Schizosaccharomyces pombe: one gene and its partners. The gene in region 2 interacts genetically with the main gene of each other region. Each region holds a gene or a part of one and is shown on either strand. Other genes may lie near its edges.

The links.
Region 1: mutations in vps5 (region 2) and trk1 together harm fitness more than expected from each alone (negative genetic interaction), as found in Schizosaccharomyces pombe (one large-scale study listed by BioGRID).
Region 3: mutations in vps5 (region 2) and oss1 together harm fitness more than expected from each alone (negative genetic interaction), as found in Schizosaccharomyces pombe (one large-scale study listed by BioGRID).

What each region holds. Positions count from the first base shown.
Region 1 is NC_003424.3:2,817,464-2,822,818, forward strand, and holds trk1 (plasma membrane potassium ion transmembrane transporter Trk1), read right to left. Parts: upstream 3,609-5,355; 5' UTR 3,319-3,608; coding exon 793-3,318; 3' UTR 723-792; coding exon of another isoform or gene 615-722; 3' UTR 575-614; downstream 1-574. Other genes in the region: MCM complex subunit Mcm5, read left to right, coding at 1-160, 202-574, 615-722; glycine--tRNA (Gly) ligase Grs1, read left to right, coding at 4,023-5,355. UniProt on the Schizosaccharomyces pombe protein: Together with TRK2, defines the major, high-affinity potassium influx transport system. Involved in maintenance of the proper sodium/potassium ratio in the cell and in regulating the plasma membrane potential.
Region 2 is NC_003421.2:700,583-705,326, reverse strand, and holds vps5 (retromer complex subunit Vps5), read right to left. Parts: upstream 2,731-4,744; 5' UTR 2,721-2,730; coding exon 990-2,720; 3' UTR 509-989; downstream 1-508. Other genes in the region: xks1 (xylulose kinase), read left to right, coding at 1-99, 151-354; TATA-binding protein-associated factor TAF6, read left to right, coding at 3,646-3,777, 3,936-4,744. UniProt on the Schizosaccharomyces pombe protein: Required for efficient sporulation target of PtdIns(3)P in vesicle transport required for onset of the forespore membrane formation. Plays a role in vesicular protein sorting.
Region 3 is NC_003423.3:935,455-939,757, reverse strand, and holds oss1 (oxysterol binding protein), read left to right. Parts: upstream 1-1,576; 5' UTR 1,577-1,666; coding exon 1,667-3,217; 3' UTR 3,218-3,745; downstream 3,746-4,303. Other genes in the region: int6 (translation initiation factor), read left to right, coding at 1-1,058; tsc13 (enoyl reductase), read left to right, coding at 4,155-4,303.

The DNA of each region.
Region 1 (5,355 bases), on a different chromosome or scaffold from region 2:
TGATATTTATTGTTAAGGATGAACATGATGAAACAAAGGATCGAAATATTGCCCGTCACGTTATTAATCTTCATACCAATTTACAAGAATCTAGTGAGACTTTAGCAATTGGAGAAATTCCTTTTGATAAGTTTCGGCGGTACATAAACTATTGTAGACAGTAAGTATACCAAATTTAATATTAGTTACTAATGGATTTAGCAAATGTGCACCTAATCTTGATGCAGAGGCAGCTGAAAAGCTATCTAGTCAATTTGTCGCAATTCGAAAACGTGTTCATCAGTCAGAGCAGGACAGTAACTCGCGTTCTACCATTCCAATCACTGTTCGTCAATTAGAGGCAATCATACGAATTACTGAATCCCTTGCAAAAATGTCATTATCACCTATTGCTTCTGAAGCTCACGCTACTGAAGCGATTCGACTGTTTTTGACCAGTACACTTGCTGCTGCTACACAAAGTTCGCCTGAAGTTACTGAGGAAGTAAAAAAAATTGAAGCCAGCTTAAGAAAAAGGTTACCTATAGGGTTTCAGGCGAGTTACCGTATGCTTATACGAGAATACGTAAATGGGGTATGTTTATTGATTAAATCTAAGTCTAACATAATTTTAGCATGGATATTCACAACACGCGTTAGAAATGGCTTTACAAATTCTTTCGTCGAAGGAAACAATTCAACTCAGAAATGGCGGACAAACGGTGTATCGATCAGGAGTATGAAATTTAGCGAGCGTACTATTTATTAGATGATATAATTTACAAATATAATACATGATCGTGATAAGAAATATCAGTCTCGAGAAACTGCAATACTGCCACGTGCGTTGTCTATGGAAAATCCGTGACGACGTTGATAATCTTCTTCTTCTTTCAGATTATTTTTTTCAGAAGGAAGAAGGATGGCTCGATCAACAGCCCTGGGTAAACCTCTATGTCTACCGCGCAGTTCAAGTGCTATAATAACTAGTTTACTTATAGTAGTAAATCTTGCTGAAAGTGAACAATTTGAGGAGCTTAATCCAGTACTAAGTCCCACCGTACCGTAAGCAGAGACTACTTCAAAAAGGACAGTAAAAATACTGAAATCGGTATCTAGAGGATTGGAGATTTTACCTCCTTCACAAATGCATATGATGAATAGCCCTAGAAAAATATACCATAAATCGTAACTTAATTGTTCAGTAAGGTGATCTTTTAAGAAAGATTTCCCCTCATCATCTTCAGTTCTGTAAACACCCAAAGATCGCTCCTCATAAACATTGGTATTTCTCATGTTGATAGCAACTGGATAAACAGAAATATACATCATAACCATGTAACTGACCAGTACTGCTGGGTGAAGTTCACTAATTGATACACTCGTGAATCCTGCGGTTCTTGTACAAACTGATTGAAATATTGCATTTACAACCCTAATACCTTTAGGAAGGCTAGCGACTGCTTTACTTCCAGTATCTAAGACCATGAACAATACCAGATCAATGACATTAAGCAGCAGCAAAACAAAAAACAAGACCCAGGTTGCTCCAGATGGAAACAATAAAGTGAAACATCGTCGAGGATGATCAAGGAGAAATGCCATAGCTTCTTTCTTCTCAAAACTAAAAGGGTATAGCTTATACGTTGTCCAAATGAATGTTCTAAAAAAACAAGGGAATCCCGTGTTACCTGCGATAATGAATAAAGATGAAATCAACAAAAGAAAAATGTTTCGATTCATTGGCACAAAAGACGATGGTATTAAAGAAAACCCCAAATCATTAAATGAAGAAGCAGACGAGAATAACGCCCACCACCCACGACGTAAGTCATAAGAATCTATTACCTCTCGCGATCCCACTGCCGTATAAGCAAAAACAATGAAGGTCACAAAGGCAGCAATATTAAAAATGATAAAATAAAGGGTAACCATGGAGCAGACGCATTTCAAAGCTCTATATTCAATTCCACCCAGCTCGTCCCGCTGTTCTTTAGACAAAGCAACGAAAGCAGAATTACGATCGACAGTAGGATTATACGACAAATAGGGAAGTGACATAGTAGTGTGTCTTGATGAAATAGAAGGCTCACGTTTTTTAGCAAAGGCAGAAGAAAGGACTCGTTCAAGAGTCAAGTTTCGTCGGTTAGAAGTGAATGACTTTGTCCAACGTATTGGACGATGAAGTCCTCGCGAAAATCTGGAACGTAAAGATTTTTTATAAAAACGACTTTTTTTTCTAAGTTTAAGATTACGTTCACGCTCTATGGTGGGCTTATTAAGTCCGGTGAAAGCAATATGCATGTCAACTGTCGATGGTTCAGTGTCTTTAGATAGGGAGGAAGAAGACAGAGACGACCTTACTATTCCGTCTATTGTATTGGCAGGCCTTAAACCACCTTCTGGGAAAAGATTGTCGTCCCCAGTGAGAGTAAATGAATCCCTCGATACAACCAAATTAGTATCAGAATAACTATAAGCCATAGGGAGAGATTCCTGAACTAAGGCGCCTTCAGATAAAGTTTCACGGGTGTCGTCAGCCTCTAAAGGATTAACGGAGGAAATAAAAGAGCTTTGTCTACGAAGTCGGGGATGAAGGTCATCCATTTCATACATTTGCATCGAGGCTGAATGCGAACTACCAAAATCGTAATTTTTATTTTCAATGGAAGGTTCATAGTCATGAAAAGTCATGTTGTGACTTTCCAAATCCATGTCTAGCGTATCAGACTTTTTTGGGAGATACTTTCCAAAATACTCGTCTTTAGATATATCTGCCTTGGGAGAAGGGGGGTTGTCAGGAAAGTACGGATTGTTCGTACTGTCATGCGTGTCAAATCTCGAGAAGTTTTTTAGAGACGTTGGACTCCTTAGTGAATGTAGGTATGGTAACATTACACGAATTTTTCTACCACGAACACCCTGTTCTTCGTCATCCTCGCTTTTTTTCATTAAGCTTTTACGGAGCTTTCTCTGAAATTTTCGAGTACGATTTTGACGAACAACGTCTTTAAATTTTCGTCGAAACCAATACAGCCGGATGAAGGAAATACTTCCGTGCATCCATATAGGAACCGTAATAGCAGTAAATCCATACAGGATAAACTGCTGCCAGATAGATAAAGAATTTAAGTCAACACTGTTAAGGCCTGTTTGGGTAGTTGCGCTGCTAGCTAAGAATAAAGCATCGATATACTTGATTTTCGTGGTGGTCCCTCCGGTAAAAAGTAGGATAGAGGCAATGATAGTTAAGGATATAATGTAAATATAATGAATTGCCAAGAATCCAAAAGTTGGTATCACCCACTTGAACCATCTTTGAATGTAATTTAGGACCATTTATTTTAGTCAATACTTCCAGCCAAACCCACCAACAACAGAACAAGAAACAGAGAAATTGGTTTGAAGTTAACGGAAATCCTTAACTATGGACAAGATAAGAAGCAATTAGTTTTGAAATCTACGGGTAAAAGCGATACTGATGAGGAAACCACTAAATTTCTAAAAGGGAATTATGACAAATGACAAACGACATTTTTACCCAATCTTTGACGATTCCTTTCAACAATACTTGAGGATTCCTCTCTTATAATACAACGTAAAATCGCGTCTTCTTTCCCGTAGAAGGTAGTTTCTAAGCGGTTCAAAGTTTCAGCCTATACTTCGACCATGTTGTACGCTTTGGGCAGTGAAGTGAGATTGTTGACGATCTTTAACATAAATCGTTGTTGTTCCGTAAAAAATGTTAACAAGATTTAGAGTGTTCAAGTACTTTTTACAGGTACCGTATTTAAATTAAGGAAAGTCCAAAAGTTCGCATAACAACGCATAATATGAATTGATGTAGCCTAACAAAATGCACTATCTATGAATTTTACGAACTAGCAAAATTTCTAGCTTTGAACAGTTTATCTTCCGTAAACATTTGAAAACCAGGCGAAAAGCAGGCATTTTAAAGCTTTTCGCTCCTTGCTTGCATAATTTCTTTTCAAGCGTTTCGTTCTTCTTGCACAGCCTTTGCTAAACGGATTTTCAGTAGAAAAATGACAGAAGTTTCAAAGGCAGCAGCTTTTGATCGAACTCAGTTCGAGGAGTTAATGAAGAAGAGATTCTTCTTCTCTCCTTCTTTTCAAATCTATGGTGGAATTAGTGGATTGTATGATTATGGCCCACCAGGTAGTGCACTTCAATCTAATCTGGTTGATATTTGGCGAAAGCACTTTGTTATCGAAGAAAGCATGCTGGAGGTTGATTGCTCCATGCTTACTCCTCATGAAGTTTTGAAGACTAGTGGGCATGTTGATAAGTTTGCAGATTGGATGTGTAAGGACCCTGCTACCGGTGAAATCTTTCGTGCCGACCACTTGGTTGAAGAGGTTTTGGAAGCCCGTTTGAAGGGTGACAAGGAAGCTCGTGGGCAGAATTCCAATGACCAGCCTGAAGAATCTGATGACAAGAAGAAGCGTAAGAAGAAGGTAAAGGAAATTCGTGCGACTCGTCTGGATGACAAGACTGTTGAGGAATACGAGTTTATTCTTGCCCAAATTGACAACTATGATGGAGATCAATTAGGTGAGCTCATGAAGAAGTATGACATTCGTAACCCTGCAACCAACGGTGAGCTTGAAACCCCTCGTCAGTTCAACTTAATGTTTGAAACTCAAATTGGTCCCAGTGGTGGTCTGAAAGGTTACCTCCGACCTGAAACTGCCCAAGGACAATTTTTAAACTTTAGCCGTTTATTGGAGTTTAATAACGGCAAAGTTCCCTTTGCCAGTGCTATGGTTGGTAAAGCCTTCCGTAATGAGATTTCTCCTCGGAGTGGCCTGCTTCGTGTTCGTGAGTTTTTGATGGCCGAAGTCGAACACTTTGTCGATCCTAAAAACAAAGAGCATGATAGATTTGACGAGGTTTCTCATATGCCCCTTCGTTTGTTGCCCCGTGGTGTCCAATTAGAAGGAAAGACTGACATTTTGGAAATGCCCATAGGTGATGCTGTCAAGAAAGGAATTGTTGATAACACTACATTAGGTTATTTTATGGCCCGTATCAGCTTATTCTTGGAGAAAATTGGTATTGATATGAACCGTGTTCGTTTTAGGCAACATATGAGCAATGAAATGGCTCATTATGCTTGCGATTGCTGGGATGCCGAAATTCAATGCTCTTACGGCTGGATCGAGTGTGTAGGTTGCGCTGATCGTAGTGCCTATGATCTTAGCGTTCACAGTAAAGCTACCAAGACTCCTTTAGTAGTTCAAGAGGCTCTTCCTGAACCTGTTGTTGTTGAACAATTCGAGGTTGAAGTTAATCGCAAAAAATTTGGTCCACGTTTCAAACGTGATGCCAAGGCTGTTGAGGAAGCTATGATTTCGT
Region 2 (4,744 bases):
GCTAGTCGTAACGAGGCTATTGTGTTTAAAATTAGCCAGGTTTTGGGATGTGATGTTTATCGGCTAAAACACGGCGGTAGTAATGCCTGTGCTGTTGGCGTAAGTGAACGGAAAATGTTGTTAATTAATAGTTACTGACCATCAATTTAGGGCGCTATCAAGGCTGCATATGCAATGAATGGAAAAGGATTTACCTTTGAAGAATATGTAAACAAATCTTGGGATGAGTCCAAGAAAATTGAACTAATCATGAATAAACCATCCGCCCAAACTTATGAAGAATATGGAAAGCTTTTACCTTTCCTCAAAAAGGCTGAAGACATTGCGATTCAACAGTCAGATATCCGGCATTGAATTGATTAAATGCTTTTCCATTTCGCACTTGATTATGTGATTAGCTATTGATATAACGAGATTATTAATGAAAGCGAAATCCACTTTTTTTTTTAAAAAATATGAATAAACCTTAGGATACAAAATGATAAACGTTTCCTACATGAACATTTTTTTGAGCTATCGTTTTGAGAGCTTTGAATCACGAGTCTAAATTAAGACAAATAAATATGTAACATAAAGTAGTCATACACCATATTATTAAACAAATTTTTGCATACGCTTTTACATATAAGTAACACAATTTAAGCAGGAAAAAGCGTTTAAACATAAACAAATATAAAAAGGCTTGAGTAACAAAGACAATTTTTAAAAACATACACAAGTTATTTATTTACAAAGGAGTGTAGGGTTGCTGTAAGGTTAGTAGATAGAATGCAATATTTTAAGGTACATTTTCTTTTCAAGTAATGAAGTACCATGGACGAAAAGGGAAATTGCAAAAAAATAATTAGAATAGAATAGAAATCGTCAGCTAGAGAAGTGCAAAGTAATAAAGCGGTAGTTGGAAATACATTAATACGAATATGGGATAGAAATATTACACGAAAGAAAAACATAAAAATTAAAAGAGTGCATAGGGAAAATTAGAGTCGTTATTGATCCAAAAATGATTCCCAACGCTCAATAATTTCTTTTTGAGATTCAATTGCAGATTCCAACCACGTTTCAACACTAGCTTTGAGATCATCAACTCTACTGGTTGTGAGAGAACTCAAATCTCGTTTTAACAGAGTTGTTGATTCCGAAAACTCTTTTTCCAGATCAGCAGCTTTTGCTCGATATTTTTCGTATTGTTCTTCCAAGTAAGGGAGTGATTTTTGCTGAGATTTCGCTTGCTTTTTACATTTCTCAAGTTGAGTTTTAGCACGAGAAACAGCTTGAACTGAAGATTGCCATGTCTGCCACAACTTTTGACGTGTAGTAAAGGCATTTTTGGCACTCTCCACGTACCGAATGTACTCCTCCAATGTAGTGCCCAGTGTCAAATTGTCTTGAGCAACCTTACGTTCTTGTACAAATCGAAGCTCTACCTGGAGTTGGGAAAGACCATCAAACTTGGATGATAAGGTGGGCTCTAAATCAACTAAAGATAAATTTCCAACAGCCTCGCCAAAATCATGGATGGCTGAAGCGAACTGTATGCGTTGATCTATGGATAAAAGAAGCGCGTGATAAACCGACTTTAGTTGAGTTTCCAACGAATCAAGTGTATCCTTTGCTTCAATTAAAATTGGATCCTGTTCGGAAAATTTAGAAGATCCAGAGGTATGGAAGGCGGAGGTGAATGAGTCAAGTAAACCAGATGTTGAGGGACCTGAGCGCAAAGGACTTGATGAACTCTCAATGAGAGTAGTACGATGTGTCATTCTAGGGTCAAATGTCTCTGCTTCAAGAAACAACTTAAATGAGTAATCATCACGTAGAACCGGATGGGCAGATATTTTGCGAAGCATTACCTCCAAGGCTGCTCGTCGCTGTTCAATAAATTCATCATCAAAACGGCCTACAACCTGCTTTTCCGGGATGGGAGGAATGATACAACCCGGATGATTATTAGAAAGCAATTGATAAAGAAAAGCAAAATCATTATATCGTCTTTGTACAGTCACATTGCTAACAGAAGGTTGATTGTGTTCCTCTAAACGAGTGGAAACCGAATATACGGTATGCGATTTAGTGATTTCCTTAACGGTATGAGGGTCATGAACTTGGATGTAAAACGGGGTAAGAGATTGAGGTGCCGCTGCCGGGTGCGCCTTCTGATTCTCCGTATCTGTTAATGAGGTTGAACCTTGCTTCTGGGAGGAGGCAGATGAGACAGTGTGTGTAAAATTTGGAGCAGAAGATGAGGCAGCGTCTAAAGTATCTACCGTCTGTTCTGAATTTGGTATAGTGGGATTTTCCGTTGCTCCGATAGGAGAAGGGGAAAAGGAGTTCACTTCTGAGATCCAAGGCTTATTTGCAGAAAAATCTGCATTCAAAGCGGGACTAGATCCTTTTAACGGATTAATTTTTGTATTTAAACCAACTTCCAAACGGTTGTTTTCGGGTGCCATAGAAGGTGCATCAGAAAATTGCAAGGGACCTAAAGGTGCAGAATCCAAAGTTAACGTTTCAAACGGAAGAGATTTCAAATTGACGCTTCGTTTCCTAGGAGATGTATAGATATGAGTTTTTGGTGGAGAAGCTTGAACATTCGGCGACTCTTCTTCCACTCCTTCAGCTGAGGGCTCTTGGTCGGTTTTTGGAGGGTTCAGTGGAGAAACGGAATCTGCGAATGGATTAAATGCATCGTCTTCTTCATATATATTATGCCCAAGCATGATGGTGGCCGGTTGGGTTTTTGGATCTGATCACTGAAATCGTGCCTGAAATGGTGATGCGCAGCCCAACGACGACTAGCGAAAAATAACGATGGTTAAATACGTTTAGCAATGCGGGGTGACTTGCGGTGCAACTAGATAAGTGTCAACAATTCAAGTTTCTAATTCCTTTTAAGGCTACATTAAATTATATTTAGCTTGTAGAAGCAGTATATTGCGTTATACAGTATTGTGAGTGGTGGGTGATAATATATTTATCATTGTAACAGCTAATAACTGGACTGAGAATGATGCTCTGTTCAATCTAGACTTCTAATTTTAACTACTATTTTATATCAATATCAATGGATGTTTTAGTAAACAAACATATAGTCTTCTGCTATTGTTCAACAAATTGAGATTAATTGGTATTCCATGTAGTGTATTTTGATGCGTAACGTAATGTTTAATAGCGATTTTAGTGTAGCTCACTGTCTTGTAAGCTACGCAGTTTGGTATCTGATTTAAGGATACGTAGAACTGCGGTGAGTTTTCCTTGTGATCTATTATATTACAATACACAGGTTGTATAAGTAGCAACTGAGTATAGGTATTGTATTAACTGGGTTATAATGTTACCTATCACTAATATAGCTCATAACTGAACTGAGGAACGAGGTTCAGCAGTAGCTCTATTTATAGTATTCAGATAATATAGATCTTAATAGATTATCATTAAGATCAATCTCCATATCGTATCATACATGGTACGATATATAATTAGAACATGTGACATATAGTGATACGCAACGTAGTGTATTATAGCGTAGTGTAGTATTGCTGACAAGTATGTTAAATAAAGCAGTTGCTTCTAACATCGTTAACTACTTCTCTGCAGATGCAATTCACTCATTGATCCATAAATCGTTCATCTTACTACCAAGTCATGTCCTTGACAGTATGGAATATTGAATCCATCAAAGATGTTGCTGAAATGCTTGGGATTGGCAATCTTGCCGATGAACCAGCAGCAGCTATTGCAATGGATCTCGAATATAGAATTCATCAGGTGGTTCAGGTAGGTTTCGTGAAAGTAGACTATGAGATTTTACTTTCTTTGGAAGAGGCTAAAATAACTAAAAAATTGTTGCTAGTTTTTTACGATGCCTTTCAATTTGCTAGATAGTCTGCTTTATTCTGACATTAAACATAATTCTCTAACAGTATTTGATTTAGGAAGCCACTAAGTTTATGGTTCATTCTAAAAGAACTGTTTTAACTAGCGCAGATATCTCTTCAGCGTTACGGACGTTGAATGTTGAGCCGTTATACGGCTTCAATAATTCTCGTCCATTAGAATTTCATGAAGCCGCTGTAGGTGCAGGCCAAAATTCCCTTTACTACCTTGATGATGAGGAAGTGGATTTTGAAAAAATCATAAACGCTCCTCTCCCTAAAGTCCCTAGAAACATTTCTTACAGTGCACACTGGCTGGCCATCGAAGGTGTGCAGCCAGCCATTCCTCAAAATCCAACTCCCTCAGATCACACAGTTGGAGAATGGGCATCCAAGGGTACTTCAGGGGTTATGCCAGGTGCTTCAACTGCTGCTAAAGAAGCTCGAAACGGTGTCACTTCGATGGACAACGTTGAGATAAAACCGTTGGTGCGACATGTGCTATCCAAAGAGTTACAGCTTTATTTTGAGCGTATTACCAGTGCATTGCTTGATGAAACTAATGTTGAGCTCCGTGATGCTGCCCTATCGAGTTTACGTGACGACCCCGGATTACACCAACTTTTACCATACTTCATAATGTTTTTATCGGATTCTGTAACTCGAAACTTAGGAAATCTTGTGGTTCTTACTACTTTAATGCACATGGCCTGGGCCCTTCTTGATAACCCCAACCTTTTTGTAGAGCCTTACGTCCAACAACTCATGCCATCCATCCTTACTTGTTTGGTCGCGAAGCGCCTTGGCAGTGATCCTAATAATCACGAGCATTATGCACTAAGAGACTTAGCTGCTTTTTTACTCGGGAT
Region 3 (4,303 bases), on a different chromosome or scaffold from region 2:
TTCAATATAATTGTGGAAACTACGGTGGTGCATCAGATTTACTTTATCATTTTCGTGCCTTCAGTAAAGACCCTGAATTAAACGCCTCCGCGACCTGGGGTAAATTTGCTTCTGAAATTTTGACTGTTGATTGGGATGGGGCTATGGAGGAATTGGGAAAACTTCGCGAAATGGTGGACTCCAAAAGCTTTAAAGATTCTGCTGTTCAATTGAGAAATCGAACTTGGCTCCTCCACTGGTCCTTGTTTCCTTTGTTTAATCATGCAAATGGTTGTGATACTCTTTGTGATTTGTTCTTCTATACTCCTTATCTCAACACCATCCAAACCTCTTGTCCCTGGCTATTAAGATATTTGACTGTCGCTGTTGTTACTAACCAAAATAATGCAAATCAAAAACCTCGTAACCCTAGGCAATCTTATCAAAGAAGGATGCGAGATCTCGTACGCATCATTAGCCAAGAAAACTATGAATACAGCGATCCTGTGACCTCTTTTATTTCTGCTTTGTATACTGAGGTCGACTTTGAAAAAGCTCAGCATTGCCTCAGAGAATGTGAAGAGGTTTTGAAAACCGACTTTTTTCTCGTATCTTTGTGCGATCACTTTTTGGAAGGTGCTCGCAAATTACTTGCTGAGGCATATTGCCGTATTCACAGTGTCATAAGTGTTGATGTGCTTGCTAACAAGCTGGAAATGGACAGTGCTCAATTAATACAACTTGTTGAAAACCGTAATAATCCTTCAGTTGCCGCAGCTTCTAATGTAGCTGCCGATCAAAGTACTGAAGATGAAAGTATTGAATCTACCTCTACAAATGTTGTTGCTGATGATTTAATCACGGAAGCCGAAACTGCTACTGAAGCCGAAGAGCCCGAACCCGAGGTACAATTTGGGTTTAAAGCTAAGTTGGACGGTGAATCAATAATAATTGAACACCCTACTTATTCAGCTTTCCAACAGATTATAGACCGTACAAAGTCATTAAGTTTTGAAAGTCAAAACTTGGAGCAATCTCTTGCTAAAAGCATTTCGGAGTTAAAGCATGCTACTGTTTAGACAAGATTAGCAAATAGTTTAAAGGTGGAATATATTTCATACATTAAAAATAAAACATAGGAGTTTAATTAATTCGCTAATTTTGTATTTTCAAACAACTCGTTATTGTAGAAGATGACTGTGTACTTTCCTATTTAAAGAAACGTGCTCATTGAATATCGCTATTAGTATATTAATTTTGGAAATTTGAAACATGCGGGGATATTAAAAAAATATATATTATCTAAAATTTTTTTATTTTCTGAAGTGCATAAAAAATAAATAATTAATGCAAAAGTATTAATGCCGCTATCTCAACATGTAGAAAATGTGTCGGTGGAATTAACTTATGTATATATTAAATTGCTGTAATAATACTAATCCAATTGCATTAAATTAAATTTCCCTAATTGATAGATAAATAAACGATGCTGCAACGGTATTACCGTAATTTAATCGAAAGACTCGCTACAACTAATATGTAAGTTTGGTGTTTAAATTTCATATCAAACCAGTACACCACGAAAGCTTGAGACAGCATCCGTTTCCGTGCCACCAACATTTATCAACGCAAAGATATCTCTTGAAAAGAATAGATTTTTGGTCAGTAGTAGGACCAGGACCTAAAGATGCCAAATCCTAATCAAGCAATAAAAAAAGAAAATGAACCTATTCAAGTTGAAAACCCTACGGAACTAGTCAGGGATGATGGAGAAGTAGAGGGTTATCAGAAAGAAGAAGGAAAATTCAAGCTAGTTCTTTCCATATTGAAACAATGCATTGGTGTGAAGGATATTGCTAGTCTTCGCTTTAGTTTACCTGCACAATTGTTAGAGCCTGTTGGAAACTTGGAGTACTGGAACTATGTTGATCGACCTGACTACTTTGCAGTCATGGGCGATTCTGATGACGAACTTGAAAGAATGTTGGGCGTATTGCGTTGGTGGTTTACAAAGGACCTTCGTTTTGTTCGTGGTCGTGTGGTAAAGCCTTACAACTCTGTGCTTGGTGAATTTTTCCGGTGCAAATGGGTCGTAACAGATCCTACAGTAAGAGAAGATCATACATTAGATCCAGATTCTTCTCAACTACCTACATACAAGACGGAATATTCCGAAACCACCAAATTCCCACTTGGTAAATCATATAGGCCAAAGGCCTCCCGTACAACGTCCAGCCAAAGCGTTGCATCTACCATGACAAAGTCTTCCACGAAGACTTCTAAGAAGAAATCTTCCAAAAAAAATTCTAAATCTGAATCGAATCAAGATTCAAGCAATGATCGTTCTTCAACAGCACCTAGCACCGCTGAATCAAATAATGAGCACCTTTCTTCCTCTCAGAAATCAAAACATTCTATAGTCTTTATGGCGGAACAAACCTCACATCATCCTGCTGTAAGTGCTTTTTATGTTACTTGCCCTTCTAAGGGCATTGAAGTATACGGTCAGGATCAAATTGCTGTTGGATTTACTGGAACTTCTTTTAAGGTTTGCGCTGGCGACCTAAACAAAGGTGTATACGTTCGCTTTAACAAAAGGGATAATGAAGAATACTTATGTACGCATCCCTCTGCCTCCGTTGGCGGTATCCTTCGTGGTAATTTACATATCAACTTGTTGGACAGTACTGTAATTTTGTGTCCTAAAACCCGTATTAAGACAATTATTACATATATTGAAGAAAGATGGCTTGGAAAACCGAGAAGCTTGGTAGAAGGCGTTTGTTATCGATATGACCCATCCAATGACACGATTGATTCAATCAAAGCAGTTCCCAAAGAAAACATCTTAGCTACTTTCAAAGGAAATTGGCGGAACTGCATATTTTACTCTTATGCAGGAGAATCTGAATCCAGAATGCTAGTTGATTTGAATGAGTTGGATTTAGTTCACAAGCGTTGTCCCCCTTTGGATAAACAATTTCCGTTTGAATCCCGGAAAATTTGGTTTCCAGTCACGCACAATATTTTGGCCAAGCATTATACTCAAGCTACGAAAGCAAAACAAGAGATTGAAGACCAACAACGCCAGGCGTCTGCCGCCAGAGAGGAAAGCCATACCGAATGGAAGCCCAGATTTTTTGTTCCAGATGAAAAGGAAGGTCGACCGACCCTTACTGAAGAAGGTAAGAAGGTCCTTGAGCAGTCCTTGTCAGATGAGTACATTCACGGAAGTTAATGTCTTTCATAAAACGTTAATTTTTAACCCTTTTCACAAACTCTTTAATTGGCGTGCATTTAGAACTTTTTCCCTACCTTACTCAATGACTCACTTTTATTTTCACAGTGTTGTTTTTGTCAGTATCTTTTTATCTTCCTCTATTTATCACTTCGCAATTCACTTCTTGTTTATCCTATCTCTTTGATATAAATGCTATTATAACTCATGAGTTTTCAATTCTGTAACGTTGGTAATGCTGATTTGTGTTTTCATAAAATGATGGCATGAGTCTTTGCAATTAATTTGCTTAGCTTGGAACGTTTGCTTAGAAATTCAAGATTACATTTACATTTTCTCTTATTTTTTAAGTTTGCTTTCTTTTTGCTACTTCAGAATTTCTTGTTCTGAACTTTCTTATCTATTAAATTGAGTTATTTTTATTCATGGTCCACAACAAAGTTGTTGCTAGCGATTTAAGCTAACTAAGCATACTGCATTATTCGTCTTGTTTTATAGGTAATAATAGCATTTCCTCGTATTGTGAAATCTTCGTGAGTTACTAGGTTAAGCTTTAAATGTAAAAACACTTTCCAACAAGCTAAGCGCATAGTTCGAAGATTGTTCAACGTACAATGTTAATTTCTTATATTTTTGTACATATGTATTCAAACAACTTATGATTTGTTGAAAGGTAGGCGAGTTTTAGTTTCTTGGTTGAAAGAGTATATCTGAATCTATATTTGCAGAAGAAAAGAAGAAAACATTTGTGATTCGATCATATTTCCTTAATAAAATCCTGTCACCATAGGTCGCATCTTCTCAAAATACGATATCATCTAATCGAGGCTGTCTCTGCCATTACTTGTTTCATACTTGGTGTCAGGATATTAAACTCCCACGAGCTTCTTAAGCCCAACAACAACAGCACACAGCTTGTTAAAGGTAGGTTTTCAAAATGAGTATAACTTTATCTTCAAGGGGCAGAAAAATCCGAAAATTACCTAAGAGTTTGGAATTCCCTCTGGATGGGTCAATCGATAAACTCCGGGACGAAGTGTCCTCAGTAACACGGCTACCAGTTGAGCGTTTACGCTTCAGCACAGC